3 linked regions of the Pelodiscus sinensis genome follow. The protein of the gene in region 1 purifies or fractionates together with the protein of each later gene. This does not show direct contact. Links are inferred from orthologs where the notes say so. Each region holds a gene or a part of one and is shown in the gene's direction. Other genes may lie near its edges. The genes, in order: AKAP9, CDK5RAP2 and PRKAR2A.

Region 1 (7,184 bases):
TTCAGATCTGGCCCACCAAGCCACCGGATCCAGCCTGTGGAGGCAGCAGGGACCCCCAGGCAGGCTCTCCTGCTTGCCCCACAGGCCCATGCGCCTTGCAGAAACAAGGCTGCCGGATTTTGTCTCTGTTTTAAAACTAGAAGGGAAGAGGGAAGGTCCAGGAGCCACCTCGCTCCCAGCACAATCCCATTTGCTGGTTTCTGGCCAACAACCAACCAATGGGAGCTGCTTGTTGGAATAACAGGCAGCCAAGAAGAACCACACCCCCTCTCCGTTGCTCTGTTATTCATGAATCACATGGCCAGGGAAGCAGGCAGGCTGGTTGGGAAATGTTTTAAGCTCTGTAAGCAAGCAGGCTGGTTTGCGTGCTGGCTGGTAAGTCCTCTGGCCACAGCCTGCCTCTTGCACCCCTGTCCCTCCCTACTTCCCCACTCAACATACCCAAACCCTCTGTCCCCCTCTTGCACCTATACCTCCTCCCAGATCTGGCACCCCAATCTCCTGTCCCAGATCACAATCCCCTTCTAACCTAATAGAAATGTAGCCGTGTTAGTCTGGTCTAGCTGAAACAAAAACAGGACTATGTAGCACTTTAAAGTCTAACAAGATGGTTTATTAGGTGATGAGCTTTCGTGGGTCCATCTTGTTAGTCTTTAAATAAACCATCTTGTTAGTCTTTAAAGTGCTACGTAGTCCTGTTTTTTGTCCCTTCTGCCCTAGGTCACATCCCAAACCTCTGCACTCCAGTCCCCGCCCTAGGTCACAACCGCCTCCTTCACGCAAAGTCCCTCCCAAACTCCAGTCTCCCTCCTGCACCCAATTCCTTACCCCAAGCTCCCCTCTGCACCTAACCTCCATCCCACACCCCGCATCTCCTTCATTAATATCATGGAAGAGTGCATCCCTTGGCCACTTTCCAAAATCGTGGAGTGGCCCCCCGTCAAAAATTATTGCCCACTCCTACCTTATCAACTTGTATTTGTACATGTGTTTTCATAAAAGCTTGTTTACATTTCTGAATTGTAAATAAAATATATAATTTTAAAAGAATGTTCAGTACCCAGAATTGGCAGTAGGATAGAATTTATCACCAAACAGGATGTTTAAAAATATCTAATGTTGAAACTGCTCCTATTTTACTGCATGAGGAAGAACACTATTTTCTATATTTTAATTTAATTTATCAAAACACATATTCAGTACTTAAGGAATTATTTTTGCAGGAGAAATCATTCTATAATTTATTTTAGAATTGAAAATCACATTTACCAAACAAATCTTATTCCTAAAATATACATATTTTTCTGTAGAGGAAAAAAAAACATGGACAAGATGTCTCTCTCTCTCTCTCATACACATATGTGTCAAACTATTTCTATAAACAATGTCATTCAGAACGGCTTTTTTATTTAATCATATCCCAGACAATGTCTGATTTCTATATTATTTACAAGAATGTTATTGGCTTCAGTAGTTTTCTCAGAACATATCCTATAAAATCAAATAATGCAACTGATTTGCACAACTACATCTTCAAAAGCAACTGCTGTGTATTGTCTCTGTCTCTGAGTATCAATTATCACTTCAGGAAATTCTCTATTGTATGCAGTAGCATCTAATTAGAGTCTATTGCTTAAGAGTACAAAGAGAGGATGCAGAGTGTACTGATGTTCCTATCAACGAAAAAGATTTTATTGATTCTTAAATTGTAAGGGAACTATTTAAGAATACAGCACACATGAAACTCTTATATTGATTCAAAGTAATAGCTAAAACCTCTTTCAACAAGGCATTCCACTTATATCTTGCTGATCCCTTTTAAAAATATTAAATATTTCAGTTCTGCATGTTTAACTATGCTGTAAACAATCACTCCAGACACCTGTGCAATAAGGAGGAGTACTATGAACAATAAATCCATTTTTACTTCAATGCAGTTCCCACAGAAGTCAGTGAAACTTTGTTTGCATGGTTGATTAAAAAAAAATGTCTACTATTAGGGTACGTCTAGATTACATGCCTCTGCCGACAGAGGCATGTAAAATAGTCTACCCGATATAGTCAATTAAGTGGGGATTTAAATATCCCTGGGTTCATTAAAATAAAAATGGCCACCGTGTTGTGCTGGCTCAACTGATTGTCGATACAGCGTGCGAGTCAAGACGCGGATCGGTCGACAATGGGAAGCCTTTGTTGACTGCTCCTGTAAACCACGTTTCACGAGGCATATGGCAGCAGTCAACAAAGGCTTCCCTTGTCGACCGATCCGCGTCTTGTGCTGTGGCCAGAAGACTTACCAGGCAGCACGCAAACCAGCCTGCCTGCTTGCAGAGCTTAAAACATTTCCCAACCAGCCTGCCTGCTTGCTTGGCCATGTGCTTCATGAATAACAGAGCAGCGGAGAGGGGTCGTGGTTCTTCTTGGCTGCCCAATATTCCAACAAGCAGTTCCCATTGGTTGGTTTTTGGCCAGAAACCAGCCAATGGGATTGTGCTGGAAGTGGGGCACCTTCAGGGCCTCATGTTACCCAGTGTCCGGACGCTTGCTTGCTGCCCTGGCTGGCAGCTGCCCTGTTGCGCAGCACAGCCAACCACTGCATGCCACCTTAGGATCAGCAAATTCTTTGGCCGGGCCTGGGTAGAAAGGCTGGCATTGACCTCTCTCATCTGGTAAATTCCCTGGTTTGTGACCAGTCAGGTCCTGGAGGTGCAAGACCAGGAGGGTACAACCTGTATTAACTAATCACAGCATACTGCTTAATCTTGAGTGACCAGGTACTGATGTGCCCTAATGTTTCATTACCATAACCAATAAAATCATCTCTCTTTATTTATATATATATAATGTCCTATGGTACAACAACATGACATGATCATGTCAGCGTCAACAGGCTGGGGGCAGGGGGTAGGCAGAGCTGAAGCGGAAGGAGTCCTGTGGACAACATGGTCCACAGCGGCAGGATGTGGCAAGCTCCCCGCTCACCCTGCTGGTGGCTTCCTTGCTTCTACCCCTCCACCCAGCCCCCTCACTCACCAGCTCAGCCCCCTGCAAGACTGGAGCACCAGCACTGGCTTCCTGCAGCATGGGGGGGAGGGAAGACCAGAGTCTCCACGCAGGATCTAGCTTTCCAGATCTGCACACATGTGTTTCCCTTCCCCCTCCCTCAGCCAAAAGCAACCGGTCCCCCACCCCGTGGTCAGCACCACCCCATGCTGAGCCTGGTCTCCAAACCAAGAGCCAGCCCGGCTCACACAGGCTGCCTCCTTTCTGCCCCCAGGCCAGCTGAGGCTCACACAACTGGGAAGCCAACTGTGGCAGAGGGAGTCAGGGCTGCCTACTCCCAGAGAGAGGGGGTTGGTGAGCATAGGAGCCAACAGAACAGCCCCCTAGTGATTCTTTACCAAACAAAACCTATTAAAACGGCTGATGCATGAAATATACATGATATGAACAGCAGACATGGAGCCTACTCTTACAAATATAGGCATCACCTTTGCATGGTACATAATGCACAAATACCTTGCCGACTTGATTGTTAGGATTTCCGGGACAAACACCGCACATGGCATATAGAAGGCGGGCGGGGGGGATAGACAATTTGCAATGTAACATGTTCCCATCATTGAATCAACTTCAGGAATAGGTAACAAGGAAACGTTCCTCTTTTTAAAGGTAACATTTGGAAAAACAATATTGCAAAAATAAATACTGTAGCAGCATTCAGTTTGCAAACACTTAGTCCGAATAAAAAATGTACTTTACATTTTTAAAATGACAATAGGCATCCCCCAGCGCCAGTGTGTTGGGGGAAGGGCAGTGTGTCATAGGGAGCGGGTTCGCATTCCTCTCCCAGGCGAGTGAGTGGGGAGGGGAAGGTGTCCGTGTCTCTTAGAGGAGAGGGGGGAGATCGGCCCCCGTCAGTGGGCGCGAGGGTCGGGGTCCCGGCCTGTCAGTGCCTGGGGAGGGGGCAGGCGTCTCGGGGGTGGATGCCTGCAGATGGGGGGCGGGGCATGGGGGGTCCCTGGGAGGGCAGGAGTCTCGAAGGGGGCGGTCAGGAGCGTCACGCCCCCCTGTCCTGCCACGGCTCCCGTTATCAGGGCGGCCCGAAGGGGGGCGGGGCTCTCGGCCGCACCTGCCAGGAGCAGCGGGGCTGGGCGGGGAGGCGGCGGCGGCGACGCGGACGTCACTTTCCCCGGCCGCGCGTGGTTACGTGGAGCTGAAGATGGCGGCGCCGGTGGGTCCGCCACGGAGGCTCCTGGCGCTGTAGCGGGGCGGGCCGGTGACGCTCTGTTCTCTGCGCAGGGGCCATGGAGGACGAGGAGCGGCGGAAGAAACTGGAGGCCGGGAAAGCCAAGGTAGGCGCGGGGGCTGTGGCGGCCGGGGGAGGGAGAGGGGCGCGGTGGGGAGTAGGGGCGCTGAGGGGCGGGACGGAGCTGTGGGGGAGGGGAGGGGCCCCTGGGCGAAGCCAGTCTCCCAAGTAGCCTGGAGGGAGCACACCCCGAGGAGCAGGGGTGACTCTTTCACCAGTTTTATTCCCACCTGTATCTAGTGTGTTTCCCTGCTAACGAGCGCGCGGGCAGCCTGGGGGTATTTGCGGGGGCTGGGCTATGTTTGATAGCAGTGGGCTCCAGAGCAGGTTCTCTTTTACTCTCCCTGTGTGATTGGCTTGTGACAGCTGTGAGTGGACAGCGCATGTCTTGCAAGTGCCACAAGTGCCAGCAGTTACACATTGAAAGCCAATGGTATTTCTCCCGAGTGAAACTCTGTACGTGTGTTGGTGTCGTTTGTGAATCTGTATAGCTTCAGTGGTCGGGGTGAAATACTTCTTCAGTTCCCCAAAAAGGTATTTGGGGATGAGGGAAACGAAGTTTACAACATACAGTTAACCTGATGCACAATTTGCTACTTGGGATTTTAAAGCAATGTACAAATTCATGGAAATAACTTTTTTTCATTTTAAGAACATCATGTTGTGTCTAATACTAGAAAATAACATTACAATGCAGTGTGTCTAATGCTTATTTCCCAAATTGTTCCCATAATCAGATGGTGGTGTAGAATGTGCAGGACTCAGGGCAGAGCCTTGGGGATGTGGCGGGAGGTCGTGCAGGAAGGAGTGAGAGAAGGCAATGCAAGAGTGAGGGTTGGGGGTTCAAGAGAGGCTTAGGGCAGGATGGGGCCTCTTATCTTTCACCCTTTCATCACCTCTGGATGCCCATCCCCTTGCCGGGCGGGGGAAGTATCTTTTCTCTGCCTCTCCTTTCTTCTCCCTTTGATTGTTTCCTGTGGCTTTGTTTAGTTCTGTCCTTTCCTTGACTTCACTTGAAGGGTTAATGTAACCTACACCACCTTCTAGTCCTCTATGGGTGAAAACTAAAGGAGCCCTTCTGTAGGTGCTTACTTAAAGACTTGATATCTTACATCCCTTAAACATTCCTCTGAATTTTACATGCTGTAGCTATATAAATAGTTGTAAACTAAGTGCTGAGGTGTGTTAGAGGATTTTTAGTTGCTTTTCTTGTTACTTATGACTGTCTTCAGACATGAAGGTTGCAGTGTAATTGTATAGTAACCTTTTTGCTATATATTTGCTCATCAGCCTTCAGTACTGTAGGTGAATTACACTGTTTAAATGCTCTGAACACACAACTACTTTAAGTGATAAATGTCTAAAGTTTCATAGATGCTTCTGTGAGTGTGAAGTTCTGTAAAACTCTTTATCTTACAATAATGAAACTACCTCTCAGAACTGGCTTACACTGGGCATTTAGGTCGAATTTAGCTGCATAAGGCTGATTTTTTTTTAAACAGTGAGTTCATACTACCAAGCCCATTCCATCAACTTTAAGGGATGCTAAAGTCTATTTTGATACTCCTGCTTTTCATGAGGAATAACGCTAAATTCAACCTTGCACGATCAACTTTACGGTACAGTAGACACAGAGTTGCAAAAATCAATGTTCTTGGCTTCTGGTAGACATCCCACAGTGCCTCACTGTGACCACACTGGCCAGAACTTGTGGCTAGACTGCTTTCCAGGTGAACAGGAGAATCCCCAGGAAACTTTGAATTTATTTCCTGTGTGGACAGCATGGCGAGCACATCTCAGAGCAGGCAGTATACCTGGCCATGACTTCCATGAGTTCTAGTTCCAGGAGCTCCTATTCCCAGGGGCTCAGACGAGCACCAGCATGAAGTGTGAAGGAGATCTTGGACCTCATCAGCATGTAGGAAGAGGAATCTGTTCTCATGAAGCTGTAAACCAGTAAACGAAATGCAGATATATATGTGAGGATCACAAAGTCCAATGAGGAGAAAGTATACACCAGGGATGCCCAGCAGTGTCGTGTGAAAATAAAGGAGTTGAAGCAATCCTACCAAAAAGACAAAGGAGGCAAATGGATAGTCTGGAGCATTGCTGTAAACATGCCACTTCTACAAGCTGTTGCATTTGATCATAAGTCTAGCTTCCCAAGCCAGACTGTGGAATCCTCCCAAGACACTAATCAGGGTGGCATTGTGGAGGAGGAGGGTCAGCAGGCAAGTGGCAATAGCCAAGAACTTTTTATAACCTTGGAGACAATCCCTTCCTCTCATGGTGCCTCAGTTGGGTACTGATCCCAGGAAAGGCACTTCTGGTGAGTTCACAATTTTTTCCTTCCTACAAGTAGATTCATGCAGTTGAGTGTGATGTGTAGGCATAGAGTGCGCCACGCAATGCAAGAGCCTGGAACAGAGCCCGGAACAGCTTGTTAATGTGTCTTGGAGACAGCACAATGGAATCCTCCTTGCAAATCTCCATGAAACTCTCATAGAAGTACTCTTTGATCCTTCTCACAAGGTTTCTGGGGAGGCCTGCCTTATTCAATACTACACGGTGGGCACCTTTACACACCAAGCCAGCAGTAAATTGTCTGGCATTGCCAGCACAAAGAGTGGGGAAATATGTTACTGGAGGAGATGCGAGTGGAGTGTCAGGAAAGGAGAGCATGCAGGGAACTATAACTGAAGCACCAGAAGACTGCTTGTCCTCCCTGACATCTGTAATGGACTGCATCTAGGCTTTCCAAGATGCGTACATGGACAGGCTCTCCTGCCCCATCTCTTCAAGACCAACTTTCCCTCCTTTTCCCTCCCAGTTCTGAAGCCTGCTCCCCCAGGGGCTCTAGGACACGAAGAGGTGA
Region 2 (7,594 bases), on another chromosome or scaffold:
CCACAGGACTCCTCGTCGCTTTTGCAGATTCAGACTTACACGGCTACCCCTCTGAGAGGGAACCCCAGATATTTAACCCAGCCATAGCTGCAGCTGACACTACGTGGCAAAAGGGTTACATTAACATCTTTTTATTGAAATGCTTTCTTTTGTCTGCAGCAGTAGAGTATAAGAGCAATTGTAGGATCTGATCCTGCCAACACTTACTTACGTAAATTTATTAATTCAGATAATCCTGTTGAAGTGAGCAGGGTAAATTTACTCATATCAGTAAATGACTTCAGGATTAGGCCCCTTTCTTATGGCTCCCAATATGCAAATAATTACATGAGTGCTTAAAGTTACATATGTCAATAATTCTGCTGACTTCAGGTGGCACACTTATGTGAGAGAAGTTAAAAACATATATATGTATATGTTTGCAAGATCAGATGCCATTACAGGGAATACAGCTTTGAACTTGTTGGAAATCTCCAGCTACAGTAACAAAATATAAAAAACTACTAATGGATATGTTGCTTAGAATAGGCATTCTCAAACTTCATTGCACTGCAACCCCCTTGTGACAACAAAAATTATTGCACAACCCTAAAGGAGCGGGGAGTCTAAGCTTGCCCAAGCCCCACCACTGTGGGCTAGGTCAAAGTCCAAGCTGAAGCACATTGCCCTGGGCAGGGGTGGGAAGAGGGCAAAGCCATCGAGGGCTGAAGCCACTGAGCTTTGTCTTTGGCCCCCACTGATGAGAATTTGGCTTTGAACCTCAGCAACAGACTCACTTTGAAGTCCTGACCCATAGTTTGAAAACTGCTAGCTTAAAGACAGGACAAAGTAGAGAGAAAGGATGGTTTTGGAATTAGAATGGTAGTCAGGGACTTGGGAGATTTACACATTCAGGGTATGTCTACACTACATGGCTCCATCGACGGAGCCATGTAGATTTGTTTATTGGGCAAAGGGAAATGAAGTGGCGATTTAAATTTACCGCCGCGGTAAACCTCATCCCACAAGGAATAACGGAGTGGTCGACAAAGGGCTTTGATGTCGACCGCGGAGCATCCAGACTAGTGCGCTGAGCCGACAAACAGCTGATCAGCTGTTTGTCGGTTCAGCGTGGCAGCCATTTAAATTTAAATGAAGCGGCGATTATTTAAATTGCCGCTTCATTTCCCTTTGCCTACAACCCTAATTTACATGGCTCTGTCGATGGAGCCATGTAGTCTAGACACAGCCTCAGTTCCCAATTCTGCCTTTGGCTTCCTATATAACATTAAATATCTCTAATAATAGCACCTCCCTACCTCATAGGTGTTGTGAGGAAAATTATATTGATTATGGGGCACTCACATACTATGGTGATCTGGACCATATCACTGACTGTGGGAATGTGAGATCATTTCTGTTATTGTACAATTTGTGTGTACGTGCGTCAGTTTAATGTTCTAAAGCAGGGCTACTCAACACATGGCCTATGGCCCGTTTCTTTGTAGGCCGTGGTACAGTTTGGGTTTACGCGGGGCTCAATGCATGGCCCGCGGGTGGGATCCTTTGAACATGGCCTTCACTGGGAATACGCTCTTCAATGGCGAGGCATCTCCCAGGTGGGTGAGCAATGAAAGATGCAAGTGGATGGGCTGGCTGCAACAGGTGGGTTCAGAGTGTCGGCATTTCTAGCTCCCAGAGAGGAGGTGCCAGGAGTGCCAGGGCATTGTGTGAAATAAGCTATTTGCATATATATTTGCATGTATATGCAACCACACTTAAGTTGTGGCCCTCGGCATGTGCTGTTCTAAAGCAAAGTCAGCATGCTGCTGTGCTCACCAAAGGAATAAATTGATTGTATTTGCACAGGGAGATGCGACACCTCCTAAATTGGAAATATTAAATATAGTTAGAAAAAAACAATTTTGAGACAATAGCTTATATAAGCCAATATAAATCTGCTTCTATGATTAAATGTAAAAATAATGTTGAAATACAGAATTCCATGTGGATGATCACTTTCATTTTTTTTTTTTTTTAAAAGATAAAATAATACAGTTGAAGAAATACATCACATTTCTGGAGCAGATCATATTGAAAATTGGCTCTTCTGCCTTTCAATTGTATTCCGGTAGCTATCGAGGTACAAGAAAGTAGCAATAATAGAAATCACATACACACAATGAGAAAAGGGAACACTACTACTGCTACAAAACACAGGCTCATGATGCAATGCATAGTTAAGTAAATCATTTTGGCAAAACACCAGTTCTTCTGAAGTATTTTCTGACTATCTTTCATCTCTTTACTGGGCAAGAAAAACAATTTTAGAAAAGTTATTTTACAGTATTTTCAGGTTGAATTATTATGAAAGATAGGATTCTTGCTGTTTGGATCCATGTAGCTATGAAAGTAACAAAGAGCATTGAAACTATTGCTATAATTCCTTCATGGGATTGTCGTAACTATACACGGTCACATGATTTTTTGCCATACTGATAGTTAGTCTACCATCCCATGTATGGATATAGAGAGTCTTTTAGCTGGAACTATAGCACTGTGCTTTATACTTGCTTATTAAGTATGTTACACAAAGTATCTGTCTATCCATCACACAAGAACCATAAGAATGATTAAAGGATTAGAAACCACCTTATAGTGATAGGCTCAAGGAGCTTAATCTACAGAGTTTAACAAAGAAAAAGCTAAGGCCTAGCTTGATCAGTTTATATAAATACTTACATGGCGAACAAAATTTTCATAACATGTTCTTCAACCTAGCAGACAAATGTATATCATGATACAGTGCCTGAAAACATGTTTTACCTGGATTGTCTGCTAGGTAATTGACCGGAATAATTTACCTGGGAGTGTGGTGGATTCTCCATCACTGGCTCTGTGATGGATAAGAGGAGTGCTGGCTAGCACCCGGTGACTAAAGGGTTAAACTCAGGTAGCTAGCAAGGGTGTTGGCAGGGAGTGAGAAGAACCAATGGGCATACAGTAATGAAATCTGAATTGTATACGATAACTTGCCTGCTTTCTTTGTGTGGGAGAGTTAAACCAGGATTAGAGAGACACAGAATGATTTAAATCCAGGGAGGACTACCATGCCTCCAAGGAATTTGGGGCATGGAAGTGGACTGAACCAAGAGAGATCATGAGAAAAAGTGAATCTAGTTATGATCAGGGTATTTTTCTTTATTTTGTGGTTTGGTTTGAACTACTCTGTTTGAATCTATGCCTCCCCTTCCCCATTTACCATCTAAGAATTGTTCCCAGAGATTTTCCATTTTGTTTTCCTTGGTTGCACTGTAACATCTAGCAACCAAGTGTGCGTTAGCCTTTGTTGTGCTAATAAAAATCACTTTTTTAAGGTGATGATTTGATTCTTTTGTCCTGGAAAGTAACAAGGGGCTGTGTGTGTGTATTTGCTTGCCTGAGACTGGGTGGTCAGCTACCAGAGACTGCAGCTTGTTTTTCTCTTTTCTTTTTTCAAGCTCTTTTGGGGTGAAAGAGCTTGGGATGCCCCATGTGGGAGAATTCAAGTGTTCCCCCCTGGTTTTAGGGATAAGTCACTTGATGGTGGGAGCTACCTCCCAAACTCAGTGAATCTGTGACTCTGGGGGAGTTTTTGTAACCAGAGCCTGCAGAGGCAAGGTATATTTAAAGTCTTCGCTGGCCCCCACCTTCTGCACTCAGAGTGCCAGAATGGGGAACTGTCCTGACAGGCTCTTTAAAAACAACATTAAATTAGTGCAAATCTTTTAGAAAAACAACCAAAGAGGATCTAATTGAGGGAAGTCCTATGTGTTATATGAGAGATTAGTCTGCACCACACTGGTCCATTTAGAGCTGATAAACGTATGTATCTATAGCAGGCCCGGCCTGTGGAGCGTGGGCCTGCCCCCGGGGTGCTCGGCGCATGCGCAGGCCAGTCATGGCCGCTGGCGCGCAACCTGGGGCCTGCCCCTGGGGCGTACAGCGCATGCGCTGCCCAGCCTGGCTGGACCACACGATTAGTCGATAAGAGGAGGCTCGCTCTAGGACTGCTGCACCTCTGCATTTTAAATGTGCTGAGCGCCCCACTTACACTGCAGAGTCGCAATGCTCCCAGACCGGTGCGAGCCGGGACTGCTTGATCCGAGTTCAGCAGCCCCTGTTCACAGTGGCCAGGGCTGGCTGCGGCAAGCCACCCCGCGGACCGGGGCTGCTACCAGAGCAGCCTCTCCTACCTTTCCCCAGCTGGCTCTGAGAGGCAGCAGTGGGGCGGCAGGAGGCACTGCAGACAGGGTGCTGCGGGGAACCGTTGTTTAAGTCTGCTCTCCCCAGCACCAGCCCCTGTTCCCTCCCTTGACGGAGGCAGCAGGGAAGAAGCACTCGTGGGCTGCTGCTCTCACCCCGGAACTGACCGCATCATACTGAGACTAGAGGACTCAGAGCGTGTGTCACACTGCGGGATGCTAACCAGTATCCCTCGCAGCGCAACTGCCCTGACTAAAGATGGCGCCTGGTCACACCCTCCTTCGCTCTTGTATTAAATATGGCGGCTGCGCACGCTGCCCGTTTTCATGCCCTCACTCAAGATGGCTACTGCCCACATTCGCTACCTTCTTTGTTCTTAGAGGTGAAAGCTGCTGGCCTTGGTTGCCGCAAAAGTTTGCCCTTAGTCAAGCTGGCGTATGCAGCATTTGCCCTCAGCAAAGATGGCGGCGCCCCATTAGCTTTCTATCGTGCCCTCAGCACGTACCATTGCAGAGCGGCCTAAGTGGCTTCACAGTCGGATATACAAGATGGCGGAAGCGGTTGCGGCCGTTTGAATTCCAACGAAGCCGCCAAACTCGGACAATAACAACCAGAGCCGCCACCGCCGCCGGAGGGTCCCTGCGGGGGTCGCACCGCCATGGACTCGCTGCCGGGGGAGGACCTCACCCTGCCCGTGGAGTTTAGCGGCAGGTAGGAGCGGGGTGGGACGGGGCAGGCAGCCGGGACCGTTAGGGCGTCCGGCGTGGGCGAGGCTGTTTGAGATCCCCCCCCCACTGGGGTCTGGCCTGCGGAGCGGAGTGGCGCTCGGCATCACCCCCACGCGTTCCTCCAAGCCAGACCGACTGTGCATGTGTGGAAATCCGAGTACCCCTTTCCCCCCGGCGAGACCGGGGGCGCTCGGGATTCCCCCTCCCCACACACTCGGGTCTGGTCACCTCTTGCTGGAGCTGTCTGCTGGTGATTGAAGCCCCCAGAGTTTGGCTGTGGCTTGGGCCTCACACACAGGGGCAGGAGTACTGCAGCTTGGGGTTCATACCCCCACCTCCCATGTGGCTGTTTGGCTCTTAGTATCTTTTCTAATATTGGGGAAGGGGTGCGAAGCTGTTACCTGGATCCCTTCCCTCCCTTTCGGTAGCTTCAGGGGTTAGCGGAGTTAGTCTGTACAGGATAAATTTAAAAAACAACAAATGGTCTGGTAGCACTTTATAGATTAACAAAACACGTTTTGGTGTTTGCCGTGTATTGTGTGTTGGGGAGAGACACTGGAAGTACTCAGGAAGGAGGGACTTTTTGTGGGGCTTCTAAACTTTCCATCACTGAAATGCCTCCTGTGTCTCACTCTTAGCGTCAGTATTTCCAGACTGCCAGATGTCTCCAGAGAAGAACCTTGTATTGGCGTAGGAGGTAATGGAGGTAAGGGCAGCTAATGTGATGGCACACAAGAAGTGGTCAAATGAACGCTTGAAATGTTCATTTCAGGAGAGTGCAAAGTTAGAAGATAAACATCTTATTTGCAAGAGCTTGTCTAGAGAACAGCCAAACTTGTTCTTACAGCACTGTAGTCTAATAAACACATTTCTGTAATGTTCCTGTGTTAAAAACTTATTGTTTCAAACGATTAACCCACAGTATTTGCTAGGCAAATATTGCAGCACTGGGAATCTGAAAGTGAAAATAACTACATAGTGAAACTGAATAAATTACCCAGCTGGTAGAAGTGTCAAAAGTTAATAAAGATCATAAATAGCGAAAAGTAAGTTCAGTTCATAAGAATGGCCTTACTGGGTGAGACCAAAGGTCCATCCAGCCCAGTACCCTGTCTGCTGACAGTGGCCAATGCCAGGTGCTCCAGAGGGAGTGAACTGAACAGGTAATGCTCAAGCAATCTCTCTCTTGACATCCATCTCCACCCTCTGACAAACAGAGGCTAGGGACACCATTCCTTACCCATCCCGGCTAATAGCCATTAATGGACTTAACCTCCATGAATTTATCTAGTTCTCTTTTAAACCCTGTTATAATCCTAGCCTTCACACTTAACAGTTCACTTTTAATAGATGTTAGTAACAGGCAAATAAACTTCTTTATTTGCAACATATAATTTTTATAAGTATAATGTCCCTTTAAGAAAACCAACAAACCGTATAAACTGAAGCTAGTGGTACAGGTTGAACCGCTTTAGTCCAGCATCCTAGAGCTTTGACCTGTTCCGAAGCAGAGAATTTGCCGAACCATGGGTGTTGAGTATTGTCTAGGGCAGGGGTGGCCAACCACTTAGAGACAAAGAGCCAAAATAGCGGTGAATAGAATACAAAGAGCCACGTATTGTATATTTATTTTTATATATTTATATAGAGAAAGATCGATATAGTACACAACATGTAGTAATAAAAACAACATTACAAGACATTTCAGACAAAAACCAATACAAAAGTCTCTAGTAATTTAAATTCATAGATCTTCAGAGGACTTGACAAGGAAAACACATCAAATAAAAAAAAACCTTTAAAAATACAGTAAATTCTCTCTCACAAAAAAGCATTCCCACTATGTATTTGAAATTTAACACTACTGCCGTATTATGTCCTGTGATTTTTTTTTTTTAAATCAAACTGCACTGAGAAGTAATTTAGCACAATTTGAAGTGCCTGTCCCAGACTGCAAATATGAGAGGTTCAAAAACATCTCAGAATAATTGCTTCAGCCTGGCAAACAATAGCCTTTGAATATTCTTTAAAGAAACATTGTAAATCAGGTACATGCTGATTCTTTTTTTGCCCTAGAATTTAAATAGGACATCTGTGTTGGCTGCCTTATTCTGCATCCACGGAGACTTTGAGCTTAAGGTGCTTCGTGCCCCCCCCCCCCCACAATGCCCCTCCCTCCCCAGGGCCAGGCATTCCCAGTTCCCCCTTCCCTCCCCTGCTCTAACCCAATGCTCCCCAGAGCCAGGCATTCCCATCCCCCAGCTCTAACCCAATGCCTTCCTTCTCCTCCAGAGCCAGCCCCCTCCCCGCTCTAAACCAATCCTCCTCCCCTCTCCTAGAGCCAAGCACCGCCCCCCCAGCTCTAACCCAATCCCTCTCCTTTCCCCCAGAGCCAGGCACCTCCCCCCCCCCCCACTGTAACCCAATCCCCCTGACCCAGAGCCAGGCACCTCTTTCTCCCCCCCCCCCCCCCCCGGCTCTAACCTAATGCCTAGGTCCTGGATCCGCCGCCACGCACTTCTCCCTCCAGGCGCTGGGACTCTGTGTGCTGAGTGGCTGCCCGTGAGCAAGCCCTGGGACGCCATGCGCAGAGCTGCCGGCCTGAATAGTCAGGGCGCGTGGCTCAGAAGCAGCAGGAGCCA
Region 3 (8,029 bases), on another chromosome or scaffold:
ATACCCCCCGCTTCATTAAAATAAAAATGGCCACTGTGCTGTGCCAGCTCAGCTGATCGTCGGCACAGCACAGCAGTCAAGACGCGGATAGGCTGACAGGGAACGCTTTTGTCGACTGTTCCTGTAAACCTCATTTCACGAGGCATAAGGAAGCGGTCGACAAAGGCGTTCCCTGTTGACCGATCTGTGTCTTGACTGCCGTGCTGTGCCGACAATCAGCTGAGCCAGCACAATGCGGCGGCCATTTTTATTTTAATGAAGCGGGGGATATTTAAATCCCCGCTTCATTGACTATGTCAAGTAGTTTAATTTACATGCCTCTGTCGGCAGAGATATATAGTCTAGATATACCCTTAGTTTGGTGAGGTCTTTTTGAAGCTCTTCACAGTCTGCTTTGGTCTTAACTATCTTGAGCAGTTTGTTATCATCTGCAAATTTTGCCCCCTCACTGTTTACCCCTTTCTCTAGATAATTTATAAATAAGTTGAATAGGTTTGGTCCCAGGACAGACCCTTGGAGGACCCCACTAGTTACATCTCTCCACTTGGAAATCTTACCATTTATTCCTACCCTTTGTTTCCTGTCTTTTAACCAGTTATCCATCCATGAAAGGACCTTCCCCCTTATTCCATGATAACTTACTTGACTTAAGAGCCCTTGGTGAGGGACCTTGTCAAAGGCTTTCTGGAAATCTAAGTCTACTATATCCACTGGATCCCCCTTGTCCACATGTTTGTTGACCCCCTCAGAGAACTCTAGCAGATCAGAAAGGCATGATTTCCTGTTACAGAAATCATGTTGACTTTCCCTCAACAAATTATTAATCTATGTGTCTGACAATTTTATTCTTTACTATAGTTCCAACTAATTTGTGTGGTACTGACGTTAGACTTACCAGTCTGTAATTGCCAGGACTCCTCTAGAGCCCTTTTTACATATTAACTTTACATTAGCTATCTTCCAGTCATTAGGTACAGAAGCTGATTTAAAGGATAGGTTACAAACTACAGTTAATAGTTCTGCAATTTCACATTTGAGTTCTTTCAGAACTCTTGGGTGCATGTCATCTAGTCTCAGTAACTTGTTACTGTTACGTTTATCAATTCGTTCCAAAACCTCCTCTAATGACACCTCAATCCAGGACAATTCCTCAGATTTGTCATCTAAAAACAATGTCTCACAACCAAATCCTTTCTTTGCTTTAAGTTATAATAAGAGGAAGCTGCATACTAAATTTCATGGTCCTAGCTCTTACCGTTTAGGAGGAGTTCTTGAACAAATGGATGGATGGACAAACTCTCTCATACATACATGCATGAATGTATATAGTAGATGAAATAAACTATACATCATCAGGGTAAATGCCAAAAGGACATAGTCTTCTTGCAGAATGAGCATCACCATCTCAATCTCTAGCTCAGGGCTAAACAAGATGAGGCCTGGGGACCAGATCTGGCCCGTGGACCATATCTAACTGATTTTTATTTATATACTGCTTCTTGTGACACCAAATTTCCAGGTGGTGGCTCAGGCAGCTGGATCCAGAGCTGCAAGTCTTTTTATAGCTGCAGGAACCCCAGGCAGCTGCCAGGCAATGTGGTAGCAGTCGGGCCAAGAGCCACAAGCCCCTTAAAGGGCTATTTAAAGGGCTCGCAGCCCCTTTGCCTGGGAGCCGCCTAGGTTGCTGCTGCTATTTCAAGGACTCCCCATCATGGCACTACCCTGGCAGGGCTGGAGCCTCAAGCCCTTTAAATAGTGGCAGCAATGCAGGTACCTGCTGGGTAGCGTGGTAGTGTTGGGGTCGGGAGATGCGAGCCTTTTGTTCTGTTTTTACTTCAAAGCCTGCAGCCCCAGACAACTGCTAGTCCCCAGTCCCCACCCTCCCAATCGGTCTCTGTCCCATTTGGGGAGGGGAGAATGGGGTGAGCCAGCCTGTGACTAGTACCAAAATTAAGTAAGTGGCTCCCCTGTGAAAATTATTGCCCACCCCTGCTCTAGTTAGATCCTTAAAACAGTCTGTCTGAATGTTTAATCTTATTGTGCCACTAAAGCTTTTGATCCTCACCTTGACACTGATCAGATAGTAGCACTGCCTGGCAAACACACTGTTACAGTTCAGTATAATTGCACCTATAGTTCCTGTCAGTAGTCCAGCAAGGTCATACTTCTCAGGCTGCCAACTCCCCAGCCACTGCCTTACTTGGATGGAGACCTGATCTTATTCCCTCCTGACCAGTGTATTTCCAAGGTGCACAGTTCTCTGCTTTCACAGTCTTATTCCCAACAGAGGCAGACTAACCAAGCACAGAAGCTTACATTCCCTTCAGGCTGATAACAGGTCAATTATCTGCAGTTATGTTAGCACACAGTTATTTCTATGCAAACCTATTTTATTCTTAAGGTTAAAGCACTACAGAGAAAGCATTAAAATCAGTAAAACACACTACATGCATGCTAATAAGCCTAGTAGAGATCTCACTAACACAGAGGTGTGCAAAAATATTTGATGGGGGGGCACTCCAAGAATTTGGAAGGTGGTCGAGGGCTGCACTCTTCCATTATATTAATGGAGAAAGTGTGGGTTCTGGGATGGAGTTTGCATGCAGAAAGGAGCTTGGGGTAAGGGATTGGGGTGCAGGAAGGCTTGGGGTCTGGGAGAGAATTTGGGTGAAGGAGGCGGTTGTGACCTGGGACACTGGACTGGGGTGCAAGGGTTGAGTTGTGACCTAGAGCAGGAAACTGGGGTGCAGGGCTTTGGGATGTGACTGAGGGCAGGAAGGGATTGTGACCTAGGAGAGAGGATTGGGGTACAGGAAGGAGTGCAGGGATTTGGGTTGTGACCTAGGATAAGGGATTGGGGTGCAGAAGGGAGTCTGAGTTGTGACCTAGGGCATGAGGGAACTGTGATCTGGAGTGCCAGATGTGGTAGGGGATATTGGTGCATGAAGGGGACAGAGGGTTTGGGTATGTAGAATATGGGGGCCAAGGGTTGGGGAAAAGAGGGTCTAAGGTGCCAGAGACAGGCTTTGGCCTGGAGACTTACCTGGGTGACTCCCAGCCAGCAGCCCAGCACATTTCTGAAGTACCCTCCTTGCCTGCCCCACCCCTGCACATGCTGCAGGGCCATGTACATGTGTGAATAAAACAAGCCGGAGAGGCCTGGGCATGGTGCTTTATGGCTGCCTGTTATTCAGACACTCAGCTCCCATTGGCTGGTTTCTGGCCAGAAACCGGCCAATGGGATTGAGCTGAGGGCAGGGTCAGTACATCAAGCCTTTCCACCACCACTGGGCTCAGTTTTGAAAGAGAAACAGCCCAGTAGCCATTTTCTGAGTGGCCTGGGGGGGGGGAAAGGCCAGCAAGGAGCCTGCCTGTGGCTCCTAGCTGCATCCACAGGCCGTATTTTGCCCAGGCTTGCCCTAACATGAGCTCTGGCTGGAGCACTTCTTCCAAACCCCACCCAAAGGCTGTGTCTACACTGGCTCGATCTTGTGCAAAAGCAGCCGCTCTTGCGCAAAAACTTGCTGCCTGGCTACACTGGCCGTGTGTTCTTGCGCAAGTAAACTGATGTTTTAATGTATGAACTCAGGGCTTCTTGCGCAAGAACTCTGATGCTCCCGCTCAGGAATAAGCCCTTTTGTGCTCATAATGTTTAGTCCACCCTTTTTACAGTTCATGAATCTTGGATCTGGAGTTTCCAGGAACAGGTAATTTAGGATGACCACATGTCATCCTGTTTTGTCTGGGGTAGGAATATTAAATTTAGATTGGGATTTCTATCAACAATTCAGTTAGTCTATAAGGGCACCTCCACCTTTGAAATGTACAAGAGCCCTGGTGCTCTTGTACATTTCAAAAGGAAACCCCCACAGGGAGAATGCGGAGATGAGGGCAGCGGGGCAGTTCCCTGCTGGCCTTGCTCACCCTGTGGGGCTTCTGCTATTGGAATATACAAGAGCCCCGCTGGGGTTATTGTACATTTCAAAACTAGAATCACAGCAAGTGATGTGAGCGGAGACTGCTTCAGTCCCCGCTTGCACCATTTCCCCCTGCGCCTATACCTCCCCTCCCCCTGCAGAGACAATGCTGGGGGAAACTGGCTTTTAAAAGAGAAAAGGTCTCAGCCTCTCTCCTGATGCAAAAAAGAGGGTGTAAGGGAGGGATCAGGCTTGGGCCCCTCTCCCGAGGCAGCTGGGAGGGGGGAGGAGGGAGCCCGAGGCAGCGGGGGGGGGGGAGGAGGGAGCCCGAGGCAGCCGGGGGGGGGGGAGGAGGGAGCCCGAGGCAGCCGGGGGGGGGGAGGAGGGAGCCCGAGGCAGCCGGGGGGGGGGGAGGAGGGAGCCCGAGGCAGCCGGGGGGGGGAGGAGGGAGCCCGAGGCAGCGGGGGGGAGGGGGGAGCCCGAGGCAGCCGGGGGGGGGGGAGCCCGAGGCAGCGGGGGGGAGGGGGGAGCCCGAGGCAGCCGGGGGGGGGGAGCCCGAGGCAGCGGGGGGGAGGAGGGAGCCCGAGGCAGCCGAGGGGGGGGAGGAGGGAGCCCGAGGCAGCCGGGGGGGGGGGAGGAGGGAGCCCGAGGCAGCCGGGCGGTCAGGCCCAGGCCGTGAGGAGAACAGGGCTGTGAAGAGGGTAGCGGCTGAGGCGAGGGGCTCGCCGGCTCTGAGGTGGCCGGGGGGGGGGGGGGGGGCGCTCCCGAGCTAACCACAGAACCTCAACATCTCTCACACATCAACTTCCCGCGTTCCAAGACTGCGCATGCGTAATGCTGATTTGCTGCGCCCCCCCATTGAACACCCAGAGTACGCATGTGCAGAATTCCCTCCTTTTCTCCCGCAAGGAGGTTTAGCGCGTCTCTGAGCCGAGGACGCGCCTTCTGCGCGTGTCCCTACTGTGACGTACGCTCACCCTCTCCCCTATCGTCGGCGGCGCGGCTCCCCCGCGGCGCATGCGCAGCTCTGCTCCTCCGTCGGGCTCCGCCCCGCGCCGCCAACCAGAGCATGCGCAGTCGCGTGGCTCCCGTTCTCTCTCTCTCCGGAGAGGCTTGTGTGACAGCGGCGGCGGGAGCCCGCGAGCGCCCTGAGGAGGGAGGCCCCTGAGCCCGCGGGAGCCGGAGCCAGCCGGGGGAGGCGGCCCCGCGGAGGGAGTCCCCGGCACCATGAGCATCGAGATCCCGGCGGGCCTGACCGAGCTGCTGCAGGGCTACACGGTGGAGGTGCTGCGGCACCGGCCGCCCGACCTGCTGGGCTTCGCCGCCGACTACTTCACCCGCCTGCGGGATGCCCGCGACCAGGAGGCCGCCGCCGGCCCCCGCAAGGGGGTCAACTTCGACGGGGAGCCCATGCAGACCGAGTCCAACGGCGAGGAGGAGCCCGGGCGCGGCTCCGACGACTCCGACTCCGACTTCGAGCGTAAGGGCCGGGCCGGGCCGGGCCCCCGCGGGGGGCGGCTCCGTTCCCGCGGGAGGGGCCGCGCGGGCTGTCCGAAGGTCATTCTCCCTCAGCCGCCTTCGCAGCCCGCGCGCCTCGCTCGCGCCTCCTTCGCGCGCGCCGCCCCTCTGCCCCTGAGCAGCCCTGCCCTCCCTCGGGTGCCGGGGCAGGGGGCCCTCGGGCGGCGGTAACCCGCACGCTATGTCCCGTGCTAGAAGGGCGCAGTCCCCATGAGCTTGACAGACACGGCGCGTGCGAGTAACGCTCAGCTGCCTTCTCTGGGCTCTTCTCTCGGTCTCTCTTTGCCTTTTGTTGTCCAGAACCCAAATGTCCAACTTCTTAACAGCATGAAGTGTCCTGGCCCATCGCAAGTAGCTGTGCAGTTGAAAAGGGAGTTTGGGGTACAAAGTTAGGCCTTTATCCCACTGAGAGAGAGCCTTCTTCTGGAGGAAATCATCAGATGTATGCAGCTACCCTGTAACTGCCAAAAGGGTATTGTAGTGTCTGACTTGAACCGTTAAGGATTGAAATGTCCGTATTTCTAAGTTATGTGATATGTAAAAGTACATGCTTTTGTTCAGCCTTTACGATATATACCACAACATGGTTATTTAAGGTTAGAGTTGCAACTTTAACTGTTTTTCCTTGGCTTTCAGTATGAGTTTGAAATATCAGAGGGGTAGTTGTGCTAGCCTGTATCTGCAAAAAGTAGGAGGCCTGTGGCATCTTAAAGACGAACAGATTTGTTTGGGCATAAGCTTTCACGGGCAAAAAAACCCACTTGCAAACAAATCTGTTCCTCTTTAAGATGCTACTGGGCTCCTCATTTTTACAATATGAGCTTTGTGCTTGATGGGTTTTTTGGTGTTCATTTAAAATTACACACTATTATAAAAATTGAAATCTGTTGCTAACTTTATTACCCCGTTTATTAAAAGTAGAAAATTTCAAATGTCTAATACCCTTTTTTCCATTTACATTTGTGTGCGTGTATGGTGGGAGGTTGGATGGGTAGTGCTGGGTGCTGAGTTGAGCGTACATAATGGAATGATGATGTGTATGTGTTGTAATAGTGTGTGGGCAATTGAGTTTGTTAAATAATCATAATTCGTTTAGGGTATCTGATGCTTTTTCTCCCTTTCTGCATCTGGTGGTGGTGGGAAGGCTTGTGTGCTTTTATTGGTTCCTGCCCTGAGCTGCTCTAGGGCAAAAGTGAACATTTTTTTAAGGGTTTACCCCCGACAGAATCTGCTGCTCTGTTCTACTTAGCAATAGAAATCACAGTAGTTATGTAAAAGACCTAAAGTAGGTACATTTTTTCTAGGGATGTTTGTTTATTTTTGTAAAAGTGTAACTGCTGACACAGTGGCGGGGGGGACGGGGACAGGCAGCTCTGGCTTAACGCATGTATGGGATCCTGCCTCCCTGACACTTCCATGTATCAGAGGCAGCAGTGCAGGAGGAGGGACAGATGGCTCCATGGGAGAAGGCTTAAAAGCTGACTCCCCACATGTACCAGCTGCCCCCTCCCCCCTGCATTGCTGCCTCTGATATAGAGGCAGCGGCATGAGGGGAGGGGACGTTGTCTCCACAGCAGTTGATATGCGCAGGGAGCTGGCTTGAAAGCCAGTACCCTATGTGTGCTGATTCATGCCTGCCCCCTCCTCCTCTGTTGCGTGGGAGGCAGGAATGGGGGCAGGTGGCTCTGCAGGAGCCAGCATGTGGATGGAATTGGCTTAAAAGCTGGCTCCCCATGAGCACTGGGTCCCACTCCTTCCTCTCCCCCCCGCTGCCTCTGATAGAAAGGCAGCAAGGGGGGGGAGTGTGTGTAACCAGAAGGATTAACTGATGAGCCCAGACTTATCAGTTAATCATGTAAATAGATACATGCTAACATCTCTAATTTTTACCTGCTCTTCCAAAGTATACTCTGTAAAGTGTTATCACATAATACAGGATGCATCCAATCTATCTGTGAAGGATAAATTGAAGCCTTTATAGTTATTTTAATTGTCAGTAATAATACTTGTTACTTTACAAACATTAGACTAATAGAATAATAGACATAGACTAGTTAATACTGTTTACATTTAAAATCTGTTGCCTTATATTTTCCTACTAGAAGTCCTATCTGGTATGGCTTTCTCTCTTTCTCCCCCCCCCCCCACCCCCCACCTTAGCTGGAGAGACCATTTCTCCCCTTCCCAGCTTCCATGACTGCCAAGGGTGTTCTGTCTCCTCTTGCACCCTTCCCTGCCCCATTGCTGTGGTGGGGGAGGATTAGGGGAAAGGGGGCTATATACTTAGTTTGGTGGCAGGCCACATAGTGGAGCCCAGTCTCTGTGTGGGTCATTTGGTGGTGTGACTGCTTCCAGTGGTGTCTCTGCAGTATGGTTTTCCCTTGCAGGCTGCCTTCAGTGGCCACTCTCAATATCATGTCCCTCCTCTCTGTGCCCTCTCTTTTCATGTTTTGGAAAACAATCCCATTCCTAGCACTTCCCATTTTCTTGGCACAACCAAACCCTGACCTTGCTTGAAGTTAGAATAAGATGAAGCTGCATACCAAATATGGAGATCCTAGCTTTTACCATTTAGGAGGAGTTCTTGAACAGAC

The links.
Region 2: the proteins of AKAP9 (region 1) and CDK5RAP2 purify together in Homo sapiens (affinity purification with western blotting; 4 studies listed by BioGRID and IntAct, with this or other methods). This does not show direct contact. The link is inferred for Pelodiscus sinensis from reciprocal best matches to the Homo sapiens genes AKAP9 and CDK5RAP2.
Region 3: the proteins of AKAP9 (region 1) and PRKAR2A purify together in Homo sapiens (affinity purification with western blotting; 3 studies listed by BioGRID, with this or other methods). This does not show direct contact. The link is inferred for Pelodiscus sinensis from reciprocal best matches to the Homo sapiens genes AKAP9 and PRKAR2A.

Annotation. Positions count from the first base shown.
Region 1 is NC_134712.1:214,228,739-214,235,922, reverse strand, and holds the start of AKAP9 (A-kinase anchor protein 9), read left to right. Parts: upstream 1-4,131; 5' UTR 4,132-4,307; coding exon 4,308-4,355; intron 4,356-4,398; exon of another isoform or gene 4,399-7,184. UniProt on the Homo sapiens protein: Scaffolding protein that assembles several protein kinases and phosphatases on the centrosome and Golgi apparatus. Required to maintain the integrity of the Golgi apparatus. Required for microtubule nucleation at the cis-side of the Golgi apparatus.
Region 2 is NC_134732.1:9,786,679-9,794,272, reverse strand, and holds the start of CDK5RAP2 (CDK5 regulatory subunit-associated protein 2), read left to right. Parts: upstream 1-4,556; 5' UTR 4,557-4,882; coding exon 4,883-4,935; intron 4,936-5,590; coding exon 5,591-5,658; intron 5,659-7,594. UniProt on the Homo sapiens protein: Potential regulator of CDK5 activity via its interaction with CDK5R1. Negative regulator of centriole disengagement (licensing) which maintains centriole engagement and cohesion. Involved in regulation of mitotic spindle orientation.
Region 3 is NC_134721.1:250,217-258,245, forward strand, and holds the start of PRKAR2A (cAMP-dependent protein kinase type II-alpha regulatory subunit), read left to right. Parts: upstream 1-4,983; 5' UTR 4,984-5,144; coding exon 5,145-5,397; intron 5,398-8,029. UniProt on the Homo sapiens protein: Regulatory subunit of the cAMP-dependent protein kinases involved in cAMP signaling in cells. Type II regulatory chains mediate membrane association by binding to anchoring proteins, including the MAP2 kinase.